Schizosaccharomyces pombe: one gene and its partners. Changing the gene in region 1 together with any one later gene gives a genetic interaction. Each region holds a gene or a part of one and is shown in the gene's direction. Other genes may lie near its edges.

Region 1 (10,440 bases):
AAGCGGTGGACCCGCGTCTGGATACAGTCCATATGGAATAGTGATACGTGAAAGGTTAACATCACTACTTGGCGTGACTAATGAAGGATCAGGGATAGGCGAAGAATAGGAAATAAGGTGAAGTTTATGATTTAAGGAGGTAGTAATACTAAAGGACTGCTTAATTAAGCCGTTCGGTTTGTAATGCAACCCCCGTAGGTTCTCATCATCAACCGACTCTTCATCACTCAAGCTCGCGGCTCCACTGTCCTCATTGCTGTAAGCATTTAGGGAACTATTACCAGTCGTATCTGCAGAGGGAGAGCGTTTAAGGGAACCATCGGTGGAAAGACCGTGATGGTAAGGTTTACGTTTACCCTCCATTTCTCGGTAGGTTAAGAATGAACCGCTGACACGAGAAGCACTCCATGATTTACCATCAGTCCAACGGCGCATTCCAGCTTCCCGTTCATCCCACACAAAAACACTGCCTGCTCGTATCAAGCTTCTTTCATGGTCGGACAATCGACGCTGGACGCGTGGAAGAAGACCAATTCGACAGGCCTCGAAAAGGATAATCGCATCCAACGGGGTCTTAATGATACCTGTATAAGTTTGCATGACGAAAGGCAAAGCCGATCAGATCGTAGTTTGAAGATGAAGTAAAATCAGAAAATAGCTGTCACGAAGATTCAAAAAAAAAAGCGCACTGGATTAGTTACCAATGCAAAGATCAAAAGAATCAACTAACGAAGCTCGGATTAAAGAGAAATAAAATAAATAGTTTTATAAATATAAGTAGAAGATAAGTTGACTGTGCGTGTATATATACAGCTTGACCGATAAATGGGTAGTCGAGTAAGTATACAGGAATGGAGACCTTCAATAAATTATGCAATTCAGTCCGAACGAACGCAAGATCTTAGGAAATTCAAGCAGGGAAAAATTAAATCTAGATATTATCTTCAAAGAAAATTCAGTTGCAAGACTAGCCGATTTGATTACCTTTTAGTACTTTCTAAAAGAAAATGAAACAATTAAACGGCAGGGAGAAGCAAAATTCAGAAACAATGAAGGAAAGTAAAAATTATTTAATAAATGATTTTCTTTCTTTTTTTAGGGAGTTATAATAAATATTATTATTCGCGGTTTCAACTGATCGTCAAAAAAACACCCAAAAAAAACAGACTTGACCAAAAAAACTTCCAATCAAGTATTAAATCTTTACAAACCCAATAGCTCACTTGTATGTTAAAAGCAAAGAAATTTAAATTCAGCTTTTTTAACAATGCTCAAGGTTGAAATTTGGCAATAAGAAACGTCACAAATAGTTAAAAATGGAAACAGTCGAAAAAATCAAGATAGATCAAATTTTTTTCTCAATGAAAAAATTAAACGAATCCGTTCACTAAAATAGAACACCTTTCTACACCGGTTCTCTAGTTGTGGTAAAAAAAGGTCCCTAAAAGTTCTTTGCAAAGGAAAAAGCTAATGTACGACAAGGCAAAGTAGCTGTTCTTTGGTTTACAATGCTTCAATCATACAACCGGTACAACTTCACTTGCTGTTAGTTTATACACAAATTTGCTTAATTTAATTTTGTTGTCCAACCTTTTTATTCGTCAAAAAGACGCTATTCGAAGGTGACAACGTTTTGCTGCTTAATGCAACACTGCGGTTGGTGAAGGAAAAGTTGAGTCAAGTAGGTTGAAAGATAGTTTATATGTGCGAGGCTTCGGTTATGTTAGCGAGTTAAATTTTTAAAACTCAAAAAAAACCTAATACGGTAAATATTCCGTAAATCCCTTACCCAACGCTAATCCCGATAGTTTTAGGCTGGTCTAACAATTTAATAAATATAATTATTTAGTTTCCGCTGCTAGATAAGATTCAAGGTAAACTTTTTCCCCAACACTGTTGATACGCCTTTAATGATCAACAACAAGATTACTTTGATTATCAAGTACAAAGTACAATGGAATATATTTTCAATCCAACAACTGCGTTCAAAACCAAAACCTGCCTTTCCAATATTTGAATTTTGTTATTCTTTAGTAGGGACCGGTTCATAAAACCGTTCGGGCCATTTCTTTTCCGACACTCAATTACTTTGGGATGAGTTAAACAGATTTAAAAATTTCAAAGATTTTCCGGCCCTTTCAGTTGTTAGTTGAAATGCTAAAATAGAATGTCCAAGGGACTATCAAAGAAATCTCGGACCCCGAACTATACTTATTTTATTCTTTTTTTTTTTTGAGTTAATATTAGCCGATGAACCGTTGAACGTGACTTGTTTTAGTAGAGCCGTAGCAGTGTCGATTGTTTCGTTGGCCACCACCAAACCATTCATTTTTGCATCTATTATCCGTCATTATCAGGGATGAAGTAAGAAATAAGTTAGTAACCATACGATCCATGCTTAGATATTAATTAAATAACGAATATACATTAAAAATTTAATAAATAAATAAGCGGAAAGGCTCGGAATGAGGCTGGTTACAATGCACACGTGCATGTTGCAAATACATCGCACTTAATCGGATTAAGGTAGACGAGAGAGGATATCAGGTAACCAGCAATTGGAACAAGTATGAAAAGAAAGTAATTTAGATTGGCAACAGTATGTCGAGAAGTAAAATGATTGATGGGTTCGCAAATGAACCTAAATCAACAGTATCCAGTATGTGGAGAGGAACCAGGTGACTCACTCTTCTTCTCCATTGCTCTGCCATATAAACTTTAATGCTGCAGAATTCTTGTGTAGGTACGTTTTGCAGGTAGACGGGTTCGGTTGCTCTTGAAGTGCAGTCCAACTATTTTCGCCCCTGTCGCAAAAAGAGATGAGAAATATCATTATATTGTGTGGGAAAATTGAGACAGCCAAGAAAAACATTCAATATGACCTGGGCAAACGTGACATACCAGCAAAAAAGATATTTTTTGACTATTTTTTCTTGCGCACTTATTAACGTTTCGTCTGCAATATTTGTTATTATACGTCAGGAGGAAGACTTTTCAAATCTGTAATTGCGATTCTCACACTCTCACTTAAACGTGTCTTTTTCCAGCCGCGAACACTCGCTACCAAATTTGTGGCTTGCGCTCTCAATTCCTCCTCGGACCATTTTGGCATTTGCTTGACAATGCCTTTCCAATCAATGGCATTTATGGAGATTGCTTCTCCGCATTGCCTTTGTACATGTTCTAGTAGTTTTAAACTATCCGCGACGTAAAATTTGCGTTTACCCTTTGATTTCTTCTTTTTTCTCTTCTTCCTTTTCTTCCCTTGATCCTCCTCTTGACGTTGGTTAGAAGAATAAGATGCGATTGTTTTTTCGTACTGTTTTCGACAGCTTTCCGGCGACTTAGTCCCAAGCTTCTTCGATATGCTATGCCATGCAATGGAATCAGATGCCGGTATTTCCCGTTGTATGTTTGAAGTAGTGTGATTATTGTGTGTGAAAAGGCTTGTCATTTTTTTTGTGTGAAAAGACGACCGGTAAGAAGACTTTACCAAGTCTAATAGCTTTGCTTCCTCTTCATTCGTCCATAATTTGCGCCGATCAATTGTTTCCTGAGTACTAGTACCTACAACAAACCTCCATTGACTCATGCACGCGGCAGGTGACGTTCCCAGTTTGTTCGCTATGCTGTTCCACCGCGTTCCCTCTTGTTCAACTAGGGTGTACAGCTTTTTTAGCTCACTTTCCTCCCATGCATTCCTATCTTTCGGATCCAACGGCTTGTAGATTTCCTTCAAATAACGAATAATTCCTTTTCTTGAAATAGAAGTAGGCAGCAATTCGCGTAGTTCGTTGTATAGAAAGTTGATATTTGTATGTCTTAAGCTTGAAGAACTCATCCGGAAGCCAAACTCTTGTAAATCTACGCCTTCATTATTACAATAAGACAAAACTACTTTTTGAATCACTTGTGCGTCTTCTAGAGAAAAATTAAGTTGCGAATCCTCTTCAGCAGCCAAGCTTCCAATGTCTATCTTTTCGTAACCGGCGACTTGAAAAAAAGCACGCATGTACTTTAGTAAACTATTTTCTTTTCGATTCAGAAAAGATGCTACTGACTCTAAAAACCCTTGAAGTCGACTCCCAGCATGTTCGTCTTCCAATATCTCGATCATTTGCTCCCGTGATATAGACCGAATCGTTAACAATTCATCAATCCTTGCTTGAAACCACTTTTCATGCTCCTCTGTCCATGCATCCTTTCTTTTCTTTGCATTGAAAGAGTTTGTGCTTTCAACTTTGCTTTCAGAATCGTCAGAAGAGGATCGCGCAATTTTACGCTTTGATGCATGATCACTACATGTTTTGACAACGACAGAGGAAAGTGGACTATTTTCCAATAACTGTCGTGTAGCTTCCATACAATCTTTATGGTCATCTGACACAGGCTCACTAGTTCCTCCTAAGGAGTGAGCACGTGAAGGCTTATGTATAAGTGACCCCATTTCAAACTCAAACTCATTATCTTCATCAAATTCGTAAACATCTTTTCTTTTCATAGATTTCATTAAACTTCCAGGCCGAGATTTATTATTAGTGATATTGAAGGTATTGTGATCTGTAAACATAACGTCTCTTTCTTGCATTGCACCCTTACTGCTACATGAAAGTGTAGGACTTTCCAAATTTGAGCGTGTTCCCTGGTTTTCATTTATTGTCATGTCGATAGCTAACATCATTAATTTACAATGCCTTCTAATAACGGGTTAGCCAATTCATGATGAAGTAAGGACGCCAAGGGAAATTTATGAATGTTTAACTATTTTTGTTTGAGAGTTTCAACGGATTTATCTATTTTTTTTCATGCTTTTTAAACTTTCATAAGATTATTATTACGAGAACATAAAATTAAACAACCATCATACGGTTTCTGTTCAACCTCTTCAAGAACCCATTCAAATATCCTTGCATAACCAATTGTTTCTGCTTACCTTGTAAATTAATTATTTCGATTTAGATAGTCTTAAAATATTGCATTTCTTTGCCTTTAATTTCTGTCGTGGTAGATGGAAGGTTTGTAAGTTAGTGTAAACAAAGAATATGCGCGACGCGTCGCGCACTTAAAATGTGTGTTACTTTTTTGATTTCATGTCACTCATCGTTTCTTTATTCTGTCTAAAGATTCGTATCTATGAAGTTTCTGGGGCAATACATTAACAAAGAAACTTTCTTTGTTATTGTAAGTTATAAATGTTGACTAGTCCAACCACACTACTTAACAATTACCAACAGCTTTTCAACAGTTTTGGAAGGGCAATTGAGAAATTGCTAGAGACGGTTTTGAAGGACGCTTTTGCAATTCCCTCAAGGCATCTTTGCTTGGCAATATTTGAAGCATCATTTTTTTATTGAATAACCATTGTGGGCCTTTAATCTCAATTGCGAAGATACATTTGTCTGGTTTTTTGAAATTCTTCCCTTTTACGATTTTTGTATATTTTCTATTTCTTTTGTTATTCCTATATTTTATAAGCTTGCAACCTAATATTTGTATTATTGTTGCTAGCGCCTGTTTTTGAAGTGCTGCCGAACGTCCTTCTTTCGCATTATTTAATTTAATACTAAACTAATTTGATAAAGGGATTTCTAATACATCCTTGTCTATTTCTGTCTTTGGCTGGCAAACCGACTTTTTTCAATATTGTCGGATTTAAAGCACAAAGGATTGCATAACATAATTTATTACAAAGAACGTTGTAATTCTTTTTAATTCTATTTATCTATTCATATCGCTTCATTTCTTTCAAGTTTTTCAATTTGTAGTCTAATGGCGAGCGCTACTTCCACGCCTACTATTGCGGATGGGAATTCCAACAAGGAGTCAGTAGCTACAAGTCGAAGCCCACACACGCATGATCTAAACTTTGAGCTACCAGAGGAATACGAAATGATCAATCTCATCGGTCAAGGTGCTTATGGAGTTGTATGTGCCGCGCTTCACAAACCCAGCGGCCTAAAGGTGGCTGTTAAAAAAATACATCCTTTCAATCATCCTGTGTTTTGTCTAAGAACTTTAAGGGAAATCAAGTTACTCAGACATTTTCGTCATGAAAATATAATTTCAATTCTAGACATCCTTCCACCACCGAGCTACCAGGAATTGGAAGATGTTTATATTGTACAAGAGCTTATGGAAACGGATTTGTACCGTGTTATACGTTCGCAGCCCTTAAGCGATGATCATTGTCAATACTTTACGTATCAAATTTTGCGCGCTCTGAAAGCCATGCATAGTGCTGGAGTTGTTCATAGAGACCTGAAGCCATCAAACTTACTACTAAATGCCAATTGTGATCTCAAAGTTGCCGATTTCGGTTTGGCACGTTCCACCACAGCTCAAGGCGGAAATCCTGGCTTTATGACTGAGTATGTCGCAACTCGTTGGTATCGAGCACCGGAAATTATGCTGAGTTTCCGAGAATACAGCAAAGCTATTGATTTATGGAGTACTGGTTGTATACTTGCTGAGATGCTTTCTGCTCGACCATTGTTCCCAGGAAAGGACTATCATAGTCAAATTACTTTAATCCTTAACATTCTAGGAACGCCTACTATGGACGATTTTTCAAGAATTAAATCTGCACGTGCGAGGAAATATATTAAAAGTCTTCCATTTACTCCTAAAGTATCATTCAAAGCACTCTTTCCTCAGGCATCACCAGATGCTATTGACCTTTTAGAAAAATTACTGACATTTAATCCTGATAAGCGTATAACTGCAGAAGAGGCTCTAAAGCACCCGTATGTAGCTGCTTATCATGATGCCAGTGATGAGCCTACAGCATCCCCCATGCCTCCCAACCTCGTCGATTTATACTGTAACAAAGAAGATCTCGAAATACCGGTATTGAAGGCCTTAATATTTCGTGAAGTAAATTTCAGATAAAAAGCTTCAACTAGAATTCTCCTCATCAAAGGCAACTATGCTGGATGCCAAGCTCTCTGGATTAGGTGCTGGAGATACAACGTTCGGTTGAGTTCCCAGCTTCTTTAGATAATCTCCAGTAGTAGGTCCAATGGTTGCGATCTTTAATTCAAATGTGTTTAATAAAGAGCAAATGGATGTCGGACTGAATGCGACAATCCAATCAATTGTAGGATGTTTTCTAATCGTATCCTTTATTTGGGTTTCTGTATTTTCTAATTCTTGCGTAGCATATACGATTAATGAATCTACTCTGTCGTCCCCCAGTTTTCTTTGAATTATATCCCTATGCTTTTCCCCTACAAGGAAAAGTAAGGGCTTATGTTGTTTAGTCGTAGTATACCACTCTTCAATTAAATCTGCCAAAACCTCACCCCTTCCACAGTCCTTTCCATGTGTTTGCTGAAAACCGAGACGTCGAATACTATCATCAGTCGCCGGACCTACTGTAAATATTGGTGTTTCCATCAATATTTTCTGCCTCTCCGTTTCATCTTCTTGTTTTAATGCTTCATCCAGAGTTTCGCTAACTCGTTGACTGGTAACGATTAAACCACAATAAGTTTTACGAACGTTTTTTAATTTATCTCTAAGCTGTTCTTCGTGAACCCTTTTGTGTCTCAGCACAGGAATGAAGGCTGTATCTCTTCCATATTTTTCAAAGGCCTCCACATATGGATCGAAAGGCTGTGATTTGGTTTTCAATAGCAAAGCAGTTTTCATGCTTTGTCTTTACAATTTGAGAAATGTAAAAAAATAATTACAGTGTCATCTAGTTCCTCAACCTATTCTACGCTTATTCTGACCAGTGAGCAGTAGCACAATTTGGCAGATGGAACAAACATGCATCTTTCCACATCGCTAATCAAATCATTAACTTAACTCAAATTTCGTAAAAAATAAATACCGTCATCGGTTGACAAATTTTTTAAAAAATGAAATGCTTCTGGAAAAACGGTAAACGATAGTTTAAAAGTATCTGATCAACATTCATCATTATGCTTAAGACGCTACATTCTACTCCGAAGTATAGGGTTGATCTATCATTACAAAAATTTCGTTTATTGATGGTAGGAACTAACGCAAAAGGGAGTTAGAGTGTGTAATTGCTTTACTGAATAATAATCAAGGCAGAAATCATTTAATATCTCTTTTAATTTCTTTCTATCAGCTACGATTGTAAGATACGAAAAAACTGTTACAGAAGTATACAGTTGATCAGATTTATGCAAAAAATCAATTGAAGAATGTATAATTTGTAAAGATGCGTATGTATATAGGTTCTAAATAAAAAGACTATGGAAAGAGAATGTATATGATTGTTTTAATCGATATTAGTCATTGATAATGAAATATTAAACAGCTTTATCTTGACTTGAATATATGAGCTTTTGACATGAAAGTTTCAAGTGCGGTAAGTAGAAATGAGTGCAAAAGAGAAATGAAGTAAAGTGCAGTGTGAAAACATATACATAAATAAACCAAGATGAGATTAATCGTAAAAAGAGGCGTTAAGAAAATCATAAAAAAAGCGGAACGTGAAAAAACGTAAAAACAAAAAACAAGTACAGATGAATACAGTTGCCATAATGTAATATAACAAGGTGAGAAAGGTCATATCTTCTCAAAACAATAATAGTTGAGGCGCATAATTTAATACTTTGTTGTTGAGGATTTGCTAGAAAAGGATGAACTAGGGGTAAGGACTTTGCTTTTTTCCAGTATCGTCTTACGAATCTTCTTGGTTCTTGAAGTAACCAAAAGAATAATAGAATCCGTGATACCTGTTAATGTCACAAGTCCCATAGAACACCATAAAAAGATCATAGCCTTTTTGCCTAGAGATGCAGTAACTCGATTTTGTGTTCCATTTCCAACAGCCATCACAAAAGAGGAGACAGCAACGTGAGCAAACAAAGCAGTTACTAGTATACTAAAAAAGGAGAAAAAAGAAAGGCTTATACGAATGTTTCTCAGGAATTCCAAACGCCCTATTAAGGGAAGGCTGGAAACAACACCCATAAGAAATGAAACACCGCATACGCAAAATGAAAAGACAATCATCCAAGGGTGAACTTCATTGATTAGAAATTTAGACCTTACATCCGTTAAGCTAATGGAAGTCAACCCAGGACAACCAGTAAATTGAGGTTTGCAGATCAGCGTCGCATTAGCAGAAAGTACACACATGTTAAAATACCCAACGTTAATTTGGGCTACGTTAGTTGCAAGAGAAAACAACTGGAATTTCGAGGTGGTACTAGATTGGCAACCTGTCATTACTAGTGCAAGTAAAATCCATGCAGCTAATGTGCAAAGAGTTCCAGTTCCTTGTACAACTGAATGAAGAAACAGCATGGTGATTAAATGTAGATGTTTGTTTGTCCTTGATACAAAAACTCTTTTCGTCAACTGGTTTTTTTGAATGAATAGGTTGAATGTTTTTTAAAAAAAGGTAAATTATTTGACGTTCGTGAAAGCCTTCAGTAAGCAAAAATATAGGCAAATCCTGAAGTAAAATTAAGGAGATTTAATCACAACAGAATTATCTCAAATGGCTTTTTGCGATGCTATGAAGGGAAGTAGCTTGAAAAGACGAACAAGGAAGATCCAAGCCAGGTTTTAAAGTAAACAAAAAAATTATTAATGACATAATATATTTCTAAGCTTTCTTTCAAAAATCTGCTTTTTTCATTGTCTTCGTGTTTTCTTTGTTCCCGAGAACAAAGAGTTCGTCAATGGTCATTCGACTCTATGAGGAATACGCAGCGGGCATATCTTTGAGAAAAAAAAGTTTCCATAGCAAAAGCCCCAAGGTATGATGTTTCTTGTCGCAAGGAACAAAAAAATATTTAGATCCCACTGGTAGCGTATGACTCAATTGCGATTTTAAAAAGGGCTCGGGCAGTATTTGTAACAACGATATAAACGATTGACGAGGATAGAGTTTTCTAAAAGAGAGAAACTTTTTCAATTGATTAATTTCTTCTAAATTCCATTGCACCCATATGCCACCATTCGAAATGTTAGGTCTCCTTAGACAATCTTGTAAAATTTTAATATCATTACAATGTAAATGATTCTGAGTTGAAGTTTCTTTTAATGAGGATATTTCTTTTAACAAAGAGTCCTGTAATGACTCAAGTATGTATCTTTTTATATCAGGACAATTCAAATTATTTAATTCCATGTTCCAGCGCTTGAAAATGCGCTTTGACGGCGGTTGCAAGTATCTATCCGATAATAAGCAGTATAAAGAAACATGTTTATTATGTAAATGGTTTTTTCCTTCTAATGGCAACAAACAAAATTTTCGAGGATTTGTATCCTTCCTTGCAGGAAACTTCGCTAATAGCTCTATATTGTCAGTAAGCCGAACATTAAAACTAACTAAAAAAGAAGATTACCTCTGGGAAATAAAAAGTGCGTTGCCAAGTCTTGTCTTAAAGGAGAGCTTAGGATGCTTATCAAAGGATCATTTTTCGAAATAATTTTTTTTATTGTCATTGTGAA
Region 2 (12,914 bases), on another chromosome or scaffold:
CAAAATCCTCCTTGTAACACCATTTATGTTGGAAATCTTCCTCCTTCTACTTCCGAGGAAGAGTTGAAAGTTTTGTTTTCCACTCAAGTTGGATACAAAAGACTTTGTTTCCGCACTAAAGGCAATGGCCCCATGTGTTTTGTTGAATTTGAAAACATTCCATACGCCATGGAAGCCTTGAAGAATTTACAAGGTGTTTGTCTTAGCAGTAGCATTAAAGGTGGTATTCGTTTGAGTTTTTCGAAGAACCCATTGGGAGTGCGCTCATCAAGTTCATCGCATAACAACCATAATGGAAACGTTCGTAACCTTCACTCTGGTTCCATGAATAATTACAATACAGACTCTTTGCTTAATCATACTGGTGGACATAACGAAGTCCACGCCAGTCCCAGTTGGGGTAATAATCTAATGTATGGCAAATAGCTCATCTAGCATTTTCTCGTCTTCATTTTATCATTATTCATCAATACCTTGCAAGGACTTTAGGTCCAAATTTTTTAAGCATATTGTTTCTCTTTTTTTTTTTTTGAGTTTTGCATATTGATTCTTTGTTAATCAAAAGTTGCGATCTATTCCACTTTGACTGCATGCAACTTTAACCATCTGTTAAGCTTAATTACAATTTGTCGATTTATGCGATCTGTTTTATTTCACTCTTATATAAGATGGGTACTTGCATTGTTTAGTTGTCATTAGGATTTATCATTTGCTCATCATTTCCATATACTTCTGCTACACATATCAATTTACATAATAATATCGACTTTTGCTTCTAAATGAACCCATCTTAAATTGCTAAACAAGTACTGTAACAACTTGGTTAGATGTATTTTTATTGTAACACCCAACTTAAGCTTACATACAAGAATTTTTAGGATACATTGATAAGCAAACACTTAATCCTTTTATAAATATTAGTATAGTCTAGGTGAATAAAATATTTCCAACAAAAACTGTATAATAGTAATCCCGTCCTTTCCCTATTAAGTTGAAATTGATTTACTTTTTTTAAAATTGCGAGGAACTTTAGGCATGCTTCGTCCTTTTCACAGGCGGCTGTTTTGAAGTGCTGTAATATTCTGACTCCGATTCTGACTCTGAAGAAGTTTCAGAAGTTTCCGAATCCAAACTTTGACGTTTCGCAGCTTCATCTTCGACATTTTTGGGTTCTGAATTGCTATCGGCCAACATAGCTACCATACAGGTAATTCGATTGCCTTCTGGAATGTTATGCTCAATTACTAAGTTCCAATCTTTATCCCATATACATACTGAACCATCCGAGCTTGCAGTAATTAAATAATCATCAACAGGGTAGACAGATTTGACGCTAACTTGATTAGAAAATTTTGAATTTTTAATTTGTTGAGTATAGAATATAAAAAGACACTTACCGTTTCTTATGCGCCGTAAATTCATGTAAAATCTTCCCATCAGAAGTATCCAAAACCAGTACTGTTCCATTATCTCGTCCAACTATCAATTTGGATTGATAGAGACACAAAGCGTTCAATTGAGATTTAGAAGAGAAGCTGAAAAGGGAAGTGAGATCCTAAAAATGTATTAGTAATTTATAAAAGAAGGAGGAAAATTGCATATAGAAAAATGCATAAATTCTTACCAATTTAAAGGCATCAATGCCTCTTCGTGACATAATAACAAATGACGACTCATTCAGGAAAAGAATAGATTCTGGGATAGTGCTTAAAGGTAAAACTTTACCTCCTTTACCTCGTACAAGGTCCCAGAGCCGCAACTTTCCATCACCTCCAACTGTTAGGGCCAATTTTTCTGAAGGGTGAACTGCTATACCAGTGATGCCCTTATGAGAAGATGACTTAAGAGTATGAACCAACAACCATGAACCTTTAGACCACATACTGATTTGCCCGTTATCATGACATGCTAAAAGGTGATTTTTAGTAAAACACATATCTCGGATACATGCATTGGCGATATCTGTAGGAACAGAAACATCGGCTATTTGGACGTTACGAGTGTGATCGAAAATTCTGAAACGATGTTAGATTATGCTTAAAAGGATAATTAAATACAAGGAAGGAAGAATGAAACCATTTAAGTCCAGTTTCATAATTCCAGTTGCAAATAACTTACTTAATTGTTTCATCACTGCTAGTAGAAGCCAAGTAAATACCGTCGACAGCTAACGCGGTTAAAGCTCCTTCATGAGCTTCAAAAAGCCACAAGGGCTTGCATTTTTTCCTCTCAATGTCTGCATCAACACCGTAAATGAGGTGAGTATATGTTCCAACTACAAAACGGAGCATCGGTGACTAAAGTATGACAATTGAAGCCTAAATCCAGTTATACAAAACCCAAAGTAAGTTATAATAAGCACCCGATCCTTTTGCTTTTTCTATTATAATTTAATTGAGTCCTAAACCACAAATTCTCAAATACCAAGTAAGAAGGAGAGAGTAGCAAAGAATTTGCAGGTGTAATGAAATTTTAAAGTAACAGCAAGAAGTTTCACTTTATGTTTTTCTTCAAAACCAATGAAGAAAGATTTTTAAATTGCTGAAATTGATTATAGAGAATGAATATTAATAATAAATACCTTATTTTGTGTGCTTTTGGTCTCAAATTGATCAGATTGCTAATGTAAACAACTAGTGTTTCAAAGTAGCAAGCTCAAGGAAGAAAAAGACATACAGTAGCTTTTACTTAAACAAAGAACCTTCCAAGCACTAAATCTTTTCTTGTTTCAATTTTCACCCTGCATGTTACTGGTATGGTTTCATCAAATATTATTGTAGCGAGGTTTCAGGGATTAGCAGCTCCATTACAAATGTTCAGACATGATCTATATCCCCTTCTTTATAAGATTATATATCTGAACAGTTTCACATAGATTTATTATAAAGCAATAGAAACTGAGGTCGAGCTTTCGAAATCGAATAATTGTTTATAGATTTATTTTTTTTATCTTGAATATTTCCAAATTTTATTTCAACATTTATCAAAATCTGTTCACAAGCGTATTTTCCAGGTCATACGTCCGATTGCAGAGAAAGAGTAAAGCAGCTGACAGCCCCAAGGCAGAGCGGACCAACAAACATTCTCACGTTCTTCCATGCAATATGTCGTAACTTAGAAGAAGTTCGTAAATCGTTTACTAAATTGAATTTATTTACTTTTTACAAGAAAAACGAGTTGCTCTGTTGTATCGATAAATAAAATAGAGAAATTCACAGGTACTCATAATATAAAATTTCGTTACTGTAGTGTTTGTATAATGATGTATTGTGATAGATTTTTGTCACATAAGATTTTGGTGTGATGTGCCTTATTCCATTCGTTTCTTTATCAACGTACAATCGCGCTATCTTCATATAATAAATCGGCAAATTCCAGTAATAAAAAATAAGGATTTGTGCTAGTAATCACTATTGTACTTTATTTGAAGCCTATTTCTGCCATGAGTCCTTTTGGGGCAGTATAGGTAGGTAAAAAAAGTCAAAGTCCCATCATGCTCTTTGACAAACTCGTACACTTTAAGGGTTGTTAGGAATATATATAATAAATGTTTCTAATTCCCTTCCTCTTAAGTTTTACGTTCTACAGTTTACATTTCTATCCTACGAAGAAAGCAATTAATTATGATTGACATCGGTAGGGACGACGATATAATTATGAAGCTGCACCGATTTTTATTACCAAGGTTCTTCAAATTTTTTAAATAGCCTCTAATATATTATTGAAGAGCTTCATTCTTTCAATACTTTGTTAAGTCTTTTGATGCTTTCCTCTTCAAATCGAAAAATTCAGCGCACGTCGTTAACGAATTTTAATGTCTTCATTAAAATGCACAAATATACGTAAAAATAGTTTAATGTCTTCGGTATCTATCGTTGTAGCGGTTTATGTGTTGCTGCCAATATCCTTATATAGAGTAAACAGTCTTCCTACCATGCGTGTCTGAGTCGTCCACTAATTCAAACAATTACTCATGTTTCTAGGGCGATTGCTATTCATTGAGTAGTTTGAAGAAATTCATTCTTTCCAAATTTACTTTGTTGCTCCATGTTTACTTATTTTCGCCTTTTGCTCGTTTCGTCTATTTTCGTATGCTCATCATTTTTATGTCAGTTGTTACTTTGTCCACGATTTATGGTTGAAGTAAGCTTGCCCGGTCGATTAACGATAATTTATAAAATCAAAAGAATCAGTAGTTCAAACCAATTTGCTCAAGAGCGCTACTGTTCTTGGATCGCCACCTTTCGCTACTTCTTTCTTCTTATATCCGATGTAAGAATCTTCTTGTGGGTAAAAACCAACTTTCAAAGCAAAGAGAAACACATAATTGCCTGTCAAAAACGAATTTTATTAATAAACAGTAATTCACTACTAATTTTGTTTTGCCAAATTTTTCGTTTTCCATCTTACTTTCTCATTCCCTCCAAACTTCTTGTTTAATCAATTCTTCATACACTCTTATCATCGATTGTATAACGTCTTCGAACGCACTACGCTAATGAATTTTTCCTATATACTGAACACGTCAGTTTACTTCCATCGTCCGCAAGTCATCGTTTTCAACGCGAATGGTCTATTCTTTCGTTTCTTGTGATAATTGACTGTTCAATCGGCCTTAGCTTTATACCGAAATTTTATAAATCTATTTATTCAGCTTAAGATTTCATCGTTCAAGTCGATATTCTCTTTGATACCCTCTTTTGTCTTTGTTTGTTCCTTTTTCACACTTGCTGAGGCCATTCCTCACGATATTTAGGAGTTACGCTTTACCTAACAAACCATTTTTTGTCTACCATTTTGACACTCATTTTCTTTGTTCATTTCTTTCGCAACTCACTTCCTTGGCGAAACTGGTGGTTTTCGCCTGTTCTACTCTAGCTAGCTAAGCTCCCTCTCCCTGTGCATTCTTAGCCTACCTCTTTTTACCGATACAACGAATAGCGCTCCGTATATATCAGTTTGCCAGCTTGCGGATCGCCTCGGAATTCAAGTATTAGATATTACCAACTAACTTTGTTTGTTAAGTGAGAATTACGTTCTTATCATTCATTACGGTAGAATCGGGATTTTTATAAGCAGGCCTTTTTTTTTCCTTAATTAACGAGGATCTACCACTGATCACTTTCATACTTCCTCATTCCTTGCGATTTTGACATTTGAGGAATTAAAATTCCTTTTGGGGCTGACTGTTTCGCGGCGATTTTCATTTGCCGCCTAACTCTTTCGCTTCTGACGGACCAGTCTTCTTTTTTTTCCTTTTCTTAATTTTGTTGGTTTTTCGTTCACTTCTCGAACCACAACCTTCCTTAATAAGACGCTTTTTTTATCCGTAAACATTCGTTTTCCCGTTTACTTCTTTCTTTCTTCTTTTTTTTTGGGGTTTCCTTCTACTTATCTTTTGGATCGTTTCCTGATATCTTTAAAGGCAACCGTTTTTATCAGTTGGGGTCTACGTATTTAATTTGGATTACGAATCTTGTGCCTCGTTTCGCCTTAGCCAGTCTTTCTTTGCTAGCGACTTCTTTTTTCGTTCGATCTCATTGTTTCTTTTTATATTCTTTATTTTTTGTTAACCCACTGCTCCTTTAACTTTTAATACTTCTTTTCTCACTACCCTTTTCGTGTCATGGATGAGGAGTTTGAAAATGACTTTCCTTACAAGGTGATGCTTAATCAGCAACAGGATCCTTCTGATGCGCAATCGAGTCCTACATTTGTTCCTTCTGCAAACCCTTCCCTCACCACTCCTTGGTTACAAACCACTCCCTCTGCTAATCGCCCCACATGGCTACCGTTACAGCAGCACATGCATCAGCTTCGACACACTGGTCTTTTACCCGCCGTTGAATCGTCCTTTGTTCATGGCCATCGTCGAAGTGCTAGTGCTGGCGTTGGTATGGGCAATTTTTCCAACCAAGCCACTATTCCTTCTAATTCTCCAGCCGTTTCTAATATGCAACCACCGACTCAAGGCGGTCAACCCTTATACCCTACTAATTTCTTCACCACTTCGGTCTCTGCCTCTTCAGATTCCTTCCCTAACAGTCCGACCGTTCCTTCAAAGTTTAGCTTAAATCCATCAGTTGCTACATCTACGAACATTAGTCCAAGGCGGCATGCAAAAAGCCATAGTGTTGCTTCTGTTTCCTCTCCCAATTCCCATAACGCCGTACCGTTTACTCCCCATGCGTTCGTTCCTCCAGTCAACAACGCATCTCCTTTACCAGCCTTGAACACTTTACCACAATTATTGCGCCCTCGTAATTTGGATGCTCAATGGCGTCCTTCATCACTTTCTCAAACGAATAGTCCTACTCATGCCGCGAATCCATCTTTTCCTGGGACTATTGTAACTCATAATACCTCAAACTTTCGTCCTGAAGGCGGTGGTCATCGTCATCGTCGATCGACTGGCAGCTTAAGTGTTGGCTCCTCTGGCTCTGGTTTTTCTTCGGGAGGTTCAGGTAATCCCCGTAAAAATCTTTTTTCTCCTTATTTACCACAGTCATCGATTCCTGCTCTACTCGCTGAGCGTCGTTTGGTAACGGGTATTTTAATTGTAAGTAAGAAAAATAGATCAGACGCTTTTGTTAGTGTCGATGGTTTGGATGCGGAAGTATTCATATGTGGTTCGAAAGATCGCAATCGTGCCCTTGAGGGTGATGTCGTTGCCATAGAGCTGTTAGACGTTGACGAGGTATGGGCTGGTAAACTTGAAAAGGAAGAGAATCGAAGGCGTAAAGACCCAATTTCTACTAGAGGCTCTTTTGACAACCTTCGAATTGACGCCGTACCGTTTGAGGTTCCTCAGAGGTCTGCTATAAAAGCAAGAGATGATGAACAAGTGGAAGGGCAGACCCTGTTCCTTCTTGACCAAAAGCAGCTTGGTGCGGACGAAAAGCCAAAGTATGCTGGTCATGTCGTAGCAGTCTTGCAGAGGGCGCCAGGCCAGGTATTTTCTGGTACGCTTGGCATACTTCGGCCAAGTAGTGCCGCTAATAAGGAGAGGCAGACCTCGTCGGGTAATCAAGGCTCTTCCAATAACTCGGGAAATGACAAGCCCAAAATCGTATGGTTTAAGCCATCTGATAAACGTGTGCCTTTGATTGCAATTCCTACTGAACAAGCACCCACAGACTTTTTGGGTAACGATCAAGCATATGCTCAACGATTGTTTTTAGCTTCTATAAAGCGTTGGCCTGTAACTTCTCTACATCCTTTTGGTATGTTGGTTGGTGAATTAGGATCTATGGACTCTATGTCTGCTCAAGTATCCGCTTTATTACACGATACGGGTGTTCATAGTGAACCATGGGAAGGATCCGCCGCTACATCCGCCGTAACTGCACTCAATGCTTTATCGGATAATTTTTTAAACGTTGCTGGTTGTGCAGATTATCGATCTGAAGATGTCTTTTTATTTGTTAAAAATGACGTTAGCAAAGCAGCCGTTTCAGAAGTCAAGCAACATGAATCAAACATCAATTCTAGTTCTGCTACTGATTTCGTTTCTTCTGCCTTTCATATTCGACCAACTTCAACTGGTTATCATGTAGGAATCCATGTTACTGACGTTTCTCGTGTTATTGAGCCAGGATCCCCATTAGATCGCGAATTACAGCGAAGAAGTATTGCGGTGAATCTTTGCCAAAAGTCGGTTCCTTTGTTTCCCACTACGTTAGGTGAGGCTTTATCTTTACGAGAAGATAAGGATTGTTATACAATGTCTCTCTTACTGGATGTTTCCTCAACTGGTAAAATTCGTGGCACTTGGATTGGATGGGCTGTCATTCGTCCTCGCAAGGCATATACCATGAAGGAAGCTGATGAGTTGCTTCAAACTGATGCTAGACTTCGTTTATTCCATACCGTAAGCAGTCGCTTACGAACTCATCATCTTGGTACAGACGTGCCACTCAGCCGGTATTGTAGGTTAGTACGTCGATGGGATGAAGAAAGCTGCAGCTTTGATCCCAATGAAACGAATCTTTTTATTTCCTCGGCGGTTGAAGTTTTACGTGAAACTCTTTTGGATGCCGCTAATAGAGCCGTTGCAAGCCACTTGCGTCAGGAATTCCGTGAAAATGCATTCCTTAGGACTCAGCGATTGCCCTCTCGAGAAAACTGTCGCATATTACAAAGTATGGCCATTCAGATGGGATGTGTTTTAGATTTGTCTTCGACAAAATCACTTTTACGCTCTTTAAGTTTGATCGAAGACGATACTGTTCGTAACATTTTGCAGCTTTATTATTATAAGGTTACCCCAAGAGCAGTTTATGAAATGCAGAAGTATAAAGGCAATCTCGCTTCCCAGATGATGAGTCTTGGTATTGAGGACGAAAGTGACGATTTGACACATTTTACAGCACCTTTGGAACGTTATGGTGATATTGTAGTTCATTATCAACTGCAGTTGCTTTTGAGAGGAGAACTGGCTTCTGAAAAGCGCCTTCGTGTATGGTCGCAAGCGGCAAACGATGCAAGCCGTCGTCTGGTTATAAGCAAATTTGCGCAAGAAACTAGCATTCATATAAAAATATTTAGTGACTGGGCGGAGAGTCAGGTTTGGCAAGACGGTCTCGTATGTTTTGTTGCTCCATCATATTTTGACGTATTTTTCCCATCTCTAGGCATGGAGAAACGTGTTCATTTAGATTTGCTCAATCTAACCCACGTAAGGTTTGAAGAGGACCAGGGCATTTTATCTTTATACGACGAGAGCGGAGCCGTTACAGTTGTTAAATTGTTGACCTCTGTCAAAGTTAAGCTCTTTGTGCAGCTTTCGACTCCACCTCTTATCAACGTTTCAAATGTCGAGTTTTGATGTTGAACTTCGATTGTTTGCAATGTTTATTTCATGTATGTGTTTTTTGGTGACACATGTTCATTTTCGGATGCCTGGAATGGCTTTATATTCTCATTCATATTATTGCTCTTATTATTAGGCATTGTTGATAAAAAATATGTTACGATTCTAAAACTGCATTTTTTCCCATTCTTACTTTTCTCTTTAATTTCGACGAAGCTGTTACTTACGTCTAATATTTGTTTCTGGAGATTTACAAGTTTTGCATAGCCAAGGAGCTCGAAAACTCGGTTTAATCTTATACACTAAGATGCCGATTTTTTATGTTATATAACTAAAAGGATGATTAAACTTGATTACGATAGTTCACGATGATAGAGTTGGATGAAGGAATCCAGTAGTCTCGATACGTGATTTTATGAGTGCATGAGTTGATGATACCTTGAACTTTTCCTTTTTTATACATTAGATTGGATTTTGTTTCAAAAATGAAATCCTGCTTTTATATTGATACATGTCACTTTGTTGGCTTACCAGTAGATGAAGTGTCGTTTGCGTTTGCAATCACTGCGGCGATTAGGCAATCAGAAGTGGATTCTTATCGGTCGTTTGGGGTTAGCTGAGTCTTTTATTTTTTGTTTCTTTTTTTAAAATGAATCTACTATTGGACGACATCTTAGCAATTTTCAGTTGATTTTTTGCAATTTAAGTTCATTTCTTACACAAAATATTCAAATTTATAGTTATGAAACGTATCCGGGATGTGTTAGTTACTCATGTCCTATTTTATGATATGAAAACGGCATAAGATATTAAAAAGAAAAGGATTCTACAAATATTCTTAGTGATTACTATTTTTCATTTTTAACGCTGCCTTGTTATATCGGCTTTTGTTTACCAAGTGTATTAACTCGATATCGAGTATATTTTGATGTATACGCATGCTATACTGATTATAAAAAATTATTAATCCACAAAGTCTTAGAAATTATGAGAACTAAATGAAATACTCTTTAAAAATAGAAAAAAAGTTAAAAATATTTATGTTTCAAGTTAAACAACAATGTAAGGTTCTAGTGGTAAAGTAAGTATGTTTATTATTAGGTCGCGACGCGAGAGTACTTCGTATTTTGACAACAACACACTAAAAGTCAGAAATCAGAAGGCTATAATTTTTTATAGCACTAGAGATTTTGGGTTATTTTATATTAGAACCTTATAGTTTAAGGGTATAATTGCTTTTTTCCAGTCCTTTAAATTGTTTCGGTCGATAGGATTGATTCATGGAGAAAACATATGGGAAAACTGTATTGCCATTGAGCAGAGTAAAGAGGATAATAAAGCAAGATGAAGACGTACACTACTGTTCTAATGCATCTGCTTTGTTAATTTCAGTAGCTACTGTATGTGTGTTGTTGATAAATCAGCTATCTGGGCGACTTAGCACCATTTTGATTGCATAAAAGAAAAAGAAAAATAAAAGCTTACCTATTTTATGATTTAGGAATTATTTGTTGAAAAGTTAGCAACAGAGGCTTATCAACTTGCCAAATTACAAAAACGTAAAGGAATACGATACAGGGACGTTGAGGACGTTGTACGTAAGGACGATCAATTTGAATTTTTATCAGATTTGTTTTCTATATAATTAAAAAGTGTGAGAACTGGAAAACGGAAGCTTAAGTGTTTCCTTTCTTGTTCAGAAACTTCCTCATGAAATGAAAGGAAACAATCATCTTGTCAGTAAAATGTGATTTAATGAATTTTATTTGAGTTTTCTTCTTCGTTTTCATGCTCTTGTGTCTTTTTATCCACAATGCGCATTTTCAAACAGCTTTATCAAACAACTACTGTAGCTATTTGGATAAAATAGAACACATGTTCTCTTAAATTGGGTTACCTGATTTTTCATGTTTCAATCATGACTAATTTGCGGCCTTTGTTAGCTACATCTATAAACAATCTTAATGATTAGGAAATGGTTAAACGTTTGAACTCGATTGAAAGATATTGAAAAGCTACCAGCGCCCATCTGTATATTCTTCATTTAATTCCTTTCTCAATATCATTTGGTTCATTTATTTAAACAAAAATGCAGAGAAGGTCGAGCTTCTTTATCTAATCCCAGCGATGCAGACGTATTGCTTGCTTCATGGTTATATTCTATACCTCCGCTACCTTGCCGTGATAATGCCGTAATCGTACATTACTATACTCGAAAACTGATTTAAGATTTGTTCTGTTCTAAATTTCCGACTACCGAATGAATTACGACACTCCACCTTGTTTCGTTAATACTACTCCATTACTAACAATTGCGCAAATACTGAAAGCAAACCAGAACCAAGTAGAAAAAATGTCGGTTTACTCATTTTCAGACGTTAGTTTAGTTGCAAAGGCACTTGGTGCATTCGTTAAAGAGAAAAGTGAAGCTTCTATTAAAAGGCATGGCGTGTTCACTTTAGCTCTTAGTGGAGGAAGTTTACCAAAGGTTTTGGCTGAAGGATTGGCTCAACAGAGAGGTATCGAGTTTTCCAAATGGTAAGTTAACAGATATTATATACTTTTGAGTTGTATGGATTCACTGTGGTTTTGTTTAGCTTTGGTTGACGTGAAACACTCTGTCTTAAGGCAATTTATGATTAACAGCTCTATTTAGGGAAGTTTTCTTTGCTGATGAAAGAATTGTTCCTTTAGATGATGAAAACTCAAATTATGCGCTCTGTAAAAAGTTGATTTTTGACAAGTTTGAAGGATTTGACCCTAAAAAAATTCATACCATCAATCCTGAGCTTTTGAAAGAAAATCCTATTGACCCTCAGAATGTTGCTGATGAATATGAAAAACAATTAGTGCATGTGTTTGCAAATAGCTCCACTGTTAAGGTCCCTGTGTTTGATTTACTGCTGTTAGGATGCGGTCCTGATGGCCATACATGTTCTCTATTCCCCGATCACGAGGTACTCCAGGAAGACGTTGCTTGGGTGGCCCCAGTCACTGATTCGCCCAAACCCCCTAAAGACCGCATCACTTTGACTTTACCGGTTGTCACACATGCTCAAGCCATTGCCTTTGTTACCACAGGTGCTGGTAAGAAGGATATTTTGCCTATTGTCATTGAGGATTTTACATCTAAACTTCCAAGTGCGCTGATCACTCGAAACAATTTGACTCGTACAAGCTGGTTTGTGGATGATGAAGCATCAGCCAATCTTGAGAGATCCTCTTTGAAGGTTTTCCCTCAATAGGCAGTTCAATTTAAGCAGGTGGCCTTTAGAATGCTTAATTGCTACATGCTTCGGATTCATTACTTGTTTCTTTAAGGTCTTTCAAGGGAAAGGTTGCAGTTCTCTTTTGTTGTTCGTGAGATTCTTTGCATAAACGCTTTAGATAATGACTTTCAAAATGCTTTCAGTCACTTCCGTGGAATGCTTGATGACCAGTTTTAACACATGTTAGTAGATTAGGAGAGAACTTGTTCCTCAAATCCTCTTTGCATTTGTTGTCTGTTTTTTATTTTAGACTAGCGTATAAAGGTTAGTCTTGTAAACAATGTGTAAGAAGCTAATGCTTTATTAAATTGTTTTATTGCTTCGTTTAGAATCATGTTTAGTTGATTGATATCACTGGCCAAACCCACACTGCAGAAATATGATGTTTTAATGAAGAAATGAATCATTGAAATATATAAACTTAAGCTATCTTGTATCATTTTTTGTTGGTGATAATGTTCTAAAATGTGTTTCATCAACAAGATAAAGTAAACCAATTGTTTTTGAATTGCAGTGATATAGTTTAGCTTCAATTCTTTTATTAAATCATTAATTCATTTTTAAAATTATGCAAAATTACGGCATTTTCTCATACTGCTTATGATAGATTTTAAGCAAAGATGGAAATTTATATCCAAAAACATGCAATTGCTTAAACTCTCCTTTATGTAAGGGTTTATTAATACTTATGTGTTTTCTACAGATGGCAACCTTCTGATTAATTATCATTAGGTTAATTTGTGATAGAAGCTGTAGTGATCTTAATTACAATAGTTTACATTATAGCAAGATGTTCGACATGACTCAATAGACTAAAAATTTTTTTTCTTAGC
Region 3 (6,878 bases), 2.3 Mb from region 1:
TGGCCCATATCGAAAAAGATGAGGGAATTACAGGGAGACGATTCTTCAAGAAAGTCTCCTCCGAGTGATTCGGTTGTAAAAAATTCTTCGCCTATTGATTATGAACATTCATTGAAATCTCTTCAAGATGAACGTACCTTGAATTACCCCAATAAGCAATTTAATTCTGAAAACCCATCTTCATACTATAATATGGATGATAGCGGGGAATTATGCAACTTTGAATTGGAGAAAGACAGTCTTGAATCAATGATCCATGAATCGTCCACTGCTCTAAGCGCTCAATCAAACACTGCACAAGACGGTGATCAACTAGCTTCATCGTCAACAATCTCTAAAGATCACTCAGAAACGTTGGACAATAAGCTAAACGATTCTAAGATATTAATTAAAAAAGCTTCTAACTCCTTTGCAAATTTTTCAGAAAGTGTAAGGTCTAGTACCATTGTTGCATATTCTCAAACACCGACACAAAGGTTGCAAGGTTTAACTTCCATATCATCTTCTTCTTTTGACGATGGTAGTTATGGATCTCGTCGAATATCTTTTAACTCTCAGGGTGTTTCTGGTCGGTTGCGAAGAAATATGGATTCCACGGTCATCATCCCTTCCGAAGATGAAGACTTGCAGTTACCATCGAATTCTAACAGCAATGTGGAATACGGCCCTTTTGATAGTACTACGTTTGATAGACAATTATCAATTGAAGTTAATCAACCAGTGGGTGCTATGTCTTTATCTCCTTGTGGTAGAGATATAGCTTTAGCTTCACGTTATGGTTTACTAGTCTTAGATCTTGATAATCCTTATAATCCACCAAGAATGCTAAGACATTCTACTCCTTGGGAAGTTGCTGATACTCAGTGGAATGTTCATGCCGCAAGAGACCAATGGGTGGTTTCTACATCAAGTCAAAAAACGATAGTATGGAACCTTGCACTACCAAATGATCGTGCTATAGAATTTATGTTACATGGACACACCCGCGCCGTCACAGATATGAACTGGCATCGGCAAAATCCTGATGTTCTTGCCACTTGTTCAATTGATTCCTCTGTTCACTGTTGGGATTTGCGTAGTCCTCGATTTCCTGTTAACTCCTTTTACGATTGGCATAACGGAGCTACTCAGGTAAAATGGAATTATAAAAATCCCCACATACTTGCTTCTAGCCATGGACGTTTAGTAAGGATTTGGGACGATCGTTATGGATCCGCCCCACTTCATACAATTAAAACTTCCGAAAATATTACTAAAATTAATGGTCTTGAATTCAATAGAGCATGTGAAACTCGCCTATTAACTTGTGCTATGGATCGAACAGTTAAGTTTTGGAACTATGAAAAGTCAACAGAGGAGCCTGAGCATTTAATTACCACTGATTCTCCAGTATGGAAAGCAAGGTTTACTCCATTCGGGGACGGAGTTATTTTGATGCCTCAGAGAGGAGACAATTCCGTACACATGTACGATTGTCGTAATTTAGACAAAGAAGGCCCCCGTGCTGTACATAGATTTGCCGGTCATACCGATCAAGTTAAAGAATTTCTTTGGAGGTGTCGAGGCGAAGATGTATTTGATAGAGATTTAAGAGATTTTCAATTGATCACTTGGTCCAAGGATCACCATGTTCGTTTATGGCCTATTGGTAACGATATACTCAATTCAATGGGACACGATCGAACAAAACCTGTTCCTTTTAAATTAACACGGTTAGGCGCGAAATATCGTACTTATTCTCGTGAGCCGCTTAAGCAATCATTAATTAACACTGAGTGTGATTCCTCTGATGCTATGAACTCGTTCGATTCTAATTTTGGTGCAGAACGTGCTAATACATCTGACTTATCCAGGGGATTTGTCGCTTTTGCTAACCGTAAGAAATCTAAATACAATCTTCCTGGCTCTTCAGGATTTATGACTCGATCCACTAAATCAACTAATCCCATGACTCCATTAAATTGGCTACGGGGAATTTCTATGGGTCGGTTAGGTAATGCTGATTGGGAAGTTCCTCAAAACCTTGGAGAAGAACTTTCTTGGATTGGGCAGAAGTATTCCAACGTTAGCTTTGAGAAAATTGATGTAGCGGAAAGGACTTGCACAATATCTTTAAATGCTCCCATTCTTCCTGATGACGGTTATGCTTATATTAGGTTGCATGTGTATTTTCCAAATAATTATCCTATATCTGCAACTCCAGTGTTTCAACTAGAAAGATCAAGCGCCTTTAATGATGAGCAATTTAATTATGTTTTTAATACATTAACATCAATTTCAGACCAATGTATTTCTTCCCATAAATATTGCATGGATGCATGCCTATCTTATCTGTCCGGCAATCTAAGTGTCGATGAAATATGGAAGCTAGGCTTTCAAAAAGATAATTCTGATTCATCTTCTGAGTCCTCTGCCGATATTTTCCAAGATGTTTTTCCTTCTATGCCCGATTTTCGAGGTGGAGATCGCGGCCTCTCTCATAAGCATCAAAATATTCCTCTTCCTAAAACTTGTGCAGCTATATTTTGTGGTAATGATGAGTTGGTGTGCTTTTTCACAATCAAAGCCGATGAAAGTGCGGCACAGGCAACTGCCAACCGCGAAACCCACGGGCGCCAAAAGCTGTTTGAGTCATTTGGTGTTTTAGATAGTAGTAACAGCGTGGCAGATTCAGACTCAACAAATTACGATGACGAGAACTCTTTAAATAGAGGTGGCACATCTGAATCGGATAGTGAGTTTATTTGGGACGTTGATGAATCTAATTCAGGTTCAATTGTTTTCCCTAAATCCAAAACCAGCATAAACCTAAACAATATAAACTCTGCATCTGCATCTATTATGGGCTCCAGATTTGGGGCTGCTGACATCTTCATGAGTAAACGCCCGTCGACAAAAGGTTCTAATAGACCCTCAATTTTACTTTCTAAACCTTCTCATGATTTTCATGTTGTGAGGATTATTAGTATGAGCAAATATCTCCCAGTGAAAAGAGCATTGGCTGCTGAATATGTTGTTGATACTGGAGATAAAGTTACAGTATGCAACAAAAATGCTGAGGTATCTGCTAAGCATAATTATTATCGCCTGGCAAAAGTTTGGTTAATGTTAGGTAGACTTCTTGGTCATTTATCACGCACTGAAAACAAAGACCACATTAATGACGAGGAAGCATTTCCATGGCTTAAGAGCCCTTTAGCAAAGTGGGTGGTTAATTCTTTACTGGATTATTATGCTTCTCAATGCAATACCCAAATGCTAGCTATGCTTGCTTGTGTTTTGGACATTCCTAATCCTAAGAAACAGTCAGGTAATACGTCTGCTGATCAAGTTCTTTTCAATCAACCTAAACAAGTTACCGAAAAACTAGGTGTGCAGCTCAACCTCCCAAAGACCAAAATATTAGAAAAGGTATCTAGCCATTCATTAGCACAGATTACAGCATTACGAGAAAAAGAACCAAAGGATGCAGATTCTACATATTCTAAAGAAAAGATTTTTTCCGCAACCAGTACGGTACATTTACAGCTGATGGATTATGATAAACAAAACAACGACTTTGTTGATGCACAAGAAATTGCATATACCAAGTTATTACAACAGAAATTCATACAATGGCGTGCCACGTATGCTGAACAGCTTGATTTATGGGGATTTTTCATACCAAAGTTAGAGATGCTAAAGTTTAACGCTCACGAATTTTCCTCACCAAGTGAAAAGACATTAGTAAATCATTGCAATAGCTGCAATTCCACGACTTCTAATACTCGTATCTGCGAGAAATGCTATAGCCTGGTACCCCGTATGTCTTGCACATTTTGTTGTTTGTCGATTCACGGTTTATGCATCGTATGCGGACTATGCCTTCATGTTATGCATGAAGATTGTTATAAGGAGTGGTTTTCTAACGGTGATTCTATATCACAGTCGTGTTCTAGCGGTTGTGGTTGCAAATGCCAATTTCAGCATATGTCTTTGGAAAAAGTTTAATGATTTTTACAATGTTGTCTATTAAGACATTTATGATTGCGTAAATTGCAAGTGTGATTTTATTTTATAAGTATACTGGGTTCAATTAACAATAATTTACAAATTTGATATTTAGATGCTGTAAAAGATATTCAAACGTTCCATTTAAATCACTTTAATCTCATTTAATAAGAGCAGAAAAAGCAAATAATTACCACTGGCAATATTGTTATTTATGAGTTGTTGTTATAATTTGGGTAAATGTGAAACGTTTGATCTTGTTTAGTGTAATAACCGAATTTTAACGAACTCCAAGTTCGTTATAAGGTATAAATGAAAGTTACTTGGAATTTAGGAAATTTAACCTAACTTGAACTTTACAATTTGTAACAAAGAAACACACATTTTCAAGTGTGTCAGTTTGTTTAAAAAATCGACAATTTACCTTCTAAATGATGGATGAAAGAAAGCTTTCAAACTTTCAAATAGATGGTGAGAAAGCGTATACTGGAAGTTCACAGGGAAATAGCTATTTGGAAGACAGACAAAAAAGGCAAAATACTTTTACTAAAAGAAAAGCTGGAATTTTTAAAAAGGTAAAAATCCCTGGCAATTGTGAGATTTCAAGTTAGAGCGAAATTTAATTTTTAGTAATGTATTGTTTTTCTAATAATTATTAGGCAAATGAACTAGCTCTTTTGACCGGGAGCGAAGTAATGGTTTTGGTTGTTTCAGAAACAGGATTAGTGCATACATTTTCCACCCCAAAGCTTGAAAATGTTGTAAAATCACCTGAGGGCCAAAAGTTGATAACAGAAAGTCTCATCAATGCAACCACAGATCAAAATGGTATGTTTAAAATATTAATATTTTTTCTTTATCCTTACAAAAATTTCGACTCGAGTTTCTTTCAAGAATACTTCGATTGTTCAGCAATTTTGTTTACGAACGCGACACTGCGAAGTAATAAGTCGCGCTTTTACTGAATGACGTCAATTTGTTTACGTTTTTCTTGCTGCAATAATTAACAGATATTCTTTCAAAAAATAAAAAAAATAAAAAATCGTTTATTTTAGATATGCTCATTTTTATAAAAATAACTAAACTAATTACCATAGAATCTCAAGCGTCCCAAGCGAAACAGAGCTCAGCTCAGCTCAGCGATTCGGAATCGGGTTATCCTTTAGATCATGAAGAAATGAGAATATCTGAAGAAAATGGGCCTAGTCACATAGAGAATCTAAATTTTTTTTCTGATATTGACAATTTTTCGAAGACTTCTGCAGAAGAAATAGCCTCAAAGCTTTTTTCCTCAGTGTCTCCAACTCATGAAACATTACAATTTGACCATGGATTACAAAATTTGGAGGGTTTTCAAGCTAATGAACATCCAGAAATGTTTGCCGATCACTCAATTGATTTTTATAATTCAAATAATGTTGATATACCTGCTTTATCAATGCTGACTTCTCAAACTAGTAGTTCAAGTACGCTTAATTTACCACCAGAACCGGCTTCCAGAGAAGTGAAAATTTTTCCAAAGCAAGGTAAAAGGATATTTTCTCCTTCTACAGGCATTGATTACGAAACTACTGGACAACATTCTGTAAATTCCCCACCCTCGACATATAAGCATCGGAGATCTTTAAATAAATCTTTTGCTACACGAAGCGAACCCCAAACTCCTCGGAAAAACAAAATCAGAGACTCCCTTCAATCATCTCCATTGAATTTTCCCCCGCGCGATCGACCACCGTTAATACCTATTAGTCGTATTGCTGTTCCATCCACCATTGAGACTGAGGAACGGCAGTATCGTGGTAATCAAAAAATAATAAATTTCTATGCCAAAATTTTTGAACCAAATAGTGGATTGGGAACAAGTTCAGAAGGAGCATCATCGTCTTTTCCAGATGTCGATCCTAACTTAGCACAGAATGGTGTTCCCTATTATTCATTACCTGATATAGATCACAATCAATTTGATCATTTACGGAGATAAATTCAATCTGACATACCATTGCGGTGAACCAGTATTTGTCACGAACTCCAAATTTTGTTGTACTAAGTTTGACTCAGTATCTGTGCAGAATTTTGATGCCATTCTGTATTGCCTATTTTTTAATTTAATTTATTACTCCTTATTTAATATCCCAAAATTCCAGCTATTCCCTTATAGAAAGTCATTTTTGTTATCTCCTTATCTACAAGACCATTTGATGTTTTCGCAAAAAATAGCTACCAAATTCCCTTTTAAATTCCAGCTATTAGCTGGTTCCTGATACTTACTCTTTATTAATTTACAATTCAACTTAGCGCTAATTTCACCCTAATTTTCATAATTTTTTCAATCCTAATTAATGCACTTTCCTTTATTTTATGCAGTATTGTGGCCTAAATTGTTTAATAGCTATGTGAAATTTGAAAGCATTTACTAAATAAGAAAAATAACTAGGACTAGCTACATTATATATTACTTTGTACAAGGACTTTTTATTATTGAATGCAAAGCTTAGTTTCGTTAGGAAACATTATTAGTTTAAGGATATCGCTATCTCTCCCAAATCTAGCTGCTCGTCCAAAATGCTGCAGTGGAAGGTACAATAGCTTGATGTACGACTTAAACCACGTCCCACTACCAAATCTTTATAGACTTTCCACATTACTAGTATTGCAAAATGTCGTTGTCGGATGAACAAGTGCAAGCAGAGATGCACAAAATGGTGAGCTTTATTAAGCAAGAAGCTCTTGAAAAGGCCAAAGAAATCCACACTCTGAGTGAAGAGGAGTTCCAAGTGGAAAAGGCCAAAATTGTTAGAGAACAATGCGATGCCATTGATCAAACTTACGATATGAAGCTCAAAAGAGCCTCCATGGCACAAAAAATTGCTAAATCTAATGTTTTGAAC

What was found.
Region 2: of spk1 (region 1) and sts5, extra expression of one rescues a mutant of the other (dosage rescue), as found in Schizosaccharomyces pombe (one study listed by BioGRID).
Region 3: of spk1 (region 1) and map1, changing one suppresses a phenotype caused by changing the other (phenotypic suppression), as found in Schizosaccharomyces pombe (one study listed by BioGRID).

Annotation. Positions count from the first base shown.
Region 1 is NC_003424.3:2,996,298-3,006,737, reverse strand, and holds spk1 (MAP kinase Spk1), read left to right. Parts: upstream 1-5,219; 5' UTR 5,220-5,769; coding exon 5,770-6,888; 3' UTR 6,889-6,894; downstream 6,895-10,440. Other genes in the region: cAMP-independent regulatory protein Pac2, read right to left, coding at 1-600; RNA polymerase I termination factor, Myb family Eta2, read right to left, coding at 2,972-4,681; hem4 (uroporphyrinogen-III synthase Ups), read right to left, coding at 6,895-7,650; tetraspan protein, claudin Dni1, read right to left, coding at 8,581-9,285; rrg8 (protein Rgg8), read right to left, coding at 9,680-10,284, 10,335-10,434. UniProt on the Schizosaccharomyces pombe protein: Involved in mating signal transduction pathway.
Region 2 is NC_003421.2:674,736-687,649, forward strand, and holds sts5 (Dis3L2-like 3'-5'-exoribonuclease), read left to right. Parts: upstream 1-5,099; 5' UTR 5,100-5,626; coding exon 5,627-8,827; 3' UTR 8,828-9,348; downstream 9,349-12,914. Other genes in the region: RNA-binding protein Scw1, read left to right, coding at 1-426; p21-activated protein kinase inhibitor Skb15, read right to left, coding at 1,030-1,333, 1,398-1,555, 1,625-2,015, 2,119-2,291; DNA polymerase epsilon Dpb3, read left to right, coding at 10,093-10,212, 10,314-10,457; pgl1 (6-phosphogluconolactonase), read left to right, coding at 11,166-11,350, 11,469-12,057. UniProt on the Schizosaccharomyces pombe protein: Required for the maintenance of cell shape during interphase. Required for localization of cortical actin to the growing tips before mitosis.
Region 3 is NC_003424.3:5,288,374-5,295,251, forward strand, and holds map1 (DNA-binding transcription factor, MADS-box Map1), read left to right. Parts: upstream 1-4,331; 5' UTR 4,332-4,421; coding exon 4,422-4,565; exon of another isoform or gene 4,566-4,649; coding exon 4,650-4,818; exon of another isoform or gene 4,819-4,895; intron 4,896-5,069; exon of another isoform or gene 5,070-5,087; coding exon 5,088-5,971; 3' UTR 5,972-6,378; downstream 6,379-6,878. Other genes in the region: SEA complex subunit Sea3, read left to right, coding at 19-3,990; vma4 (V-type ATPase V1 subunit E), read left to right, coding at 6,648-6,878. UniProt on the Schizosaccharomyces pombe protein: In response to mating-pheromone signaling or nitrogen starvation, it interacts with mat1-Pc. This activates the expression of one of two mating-type-specific genes sxa2 or map3, which leads to inactivation of the P-factor. May also interact with mat1-Mc.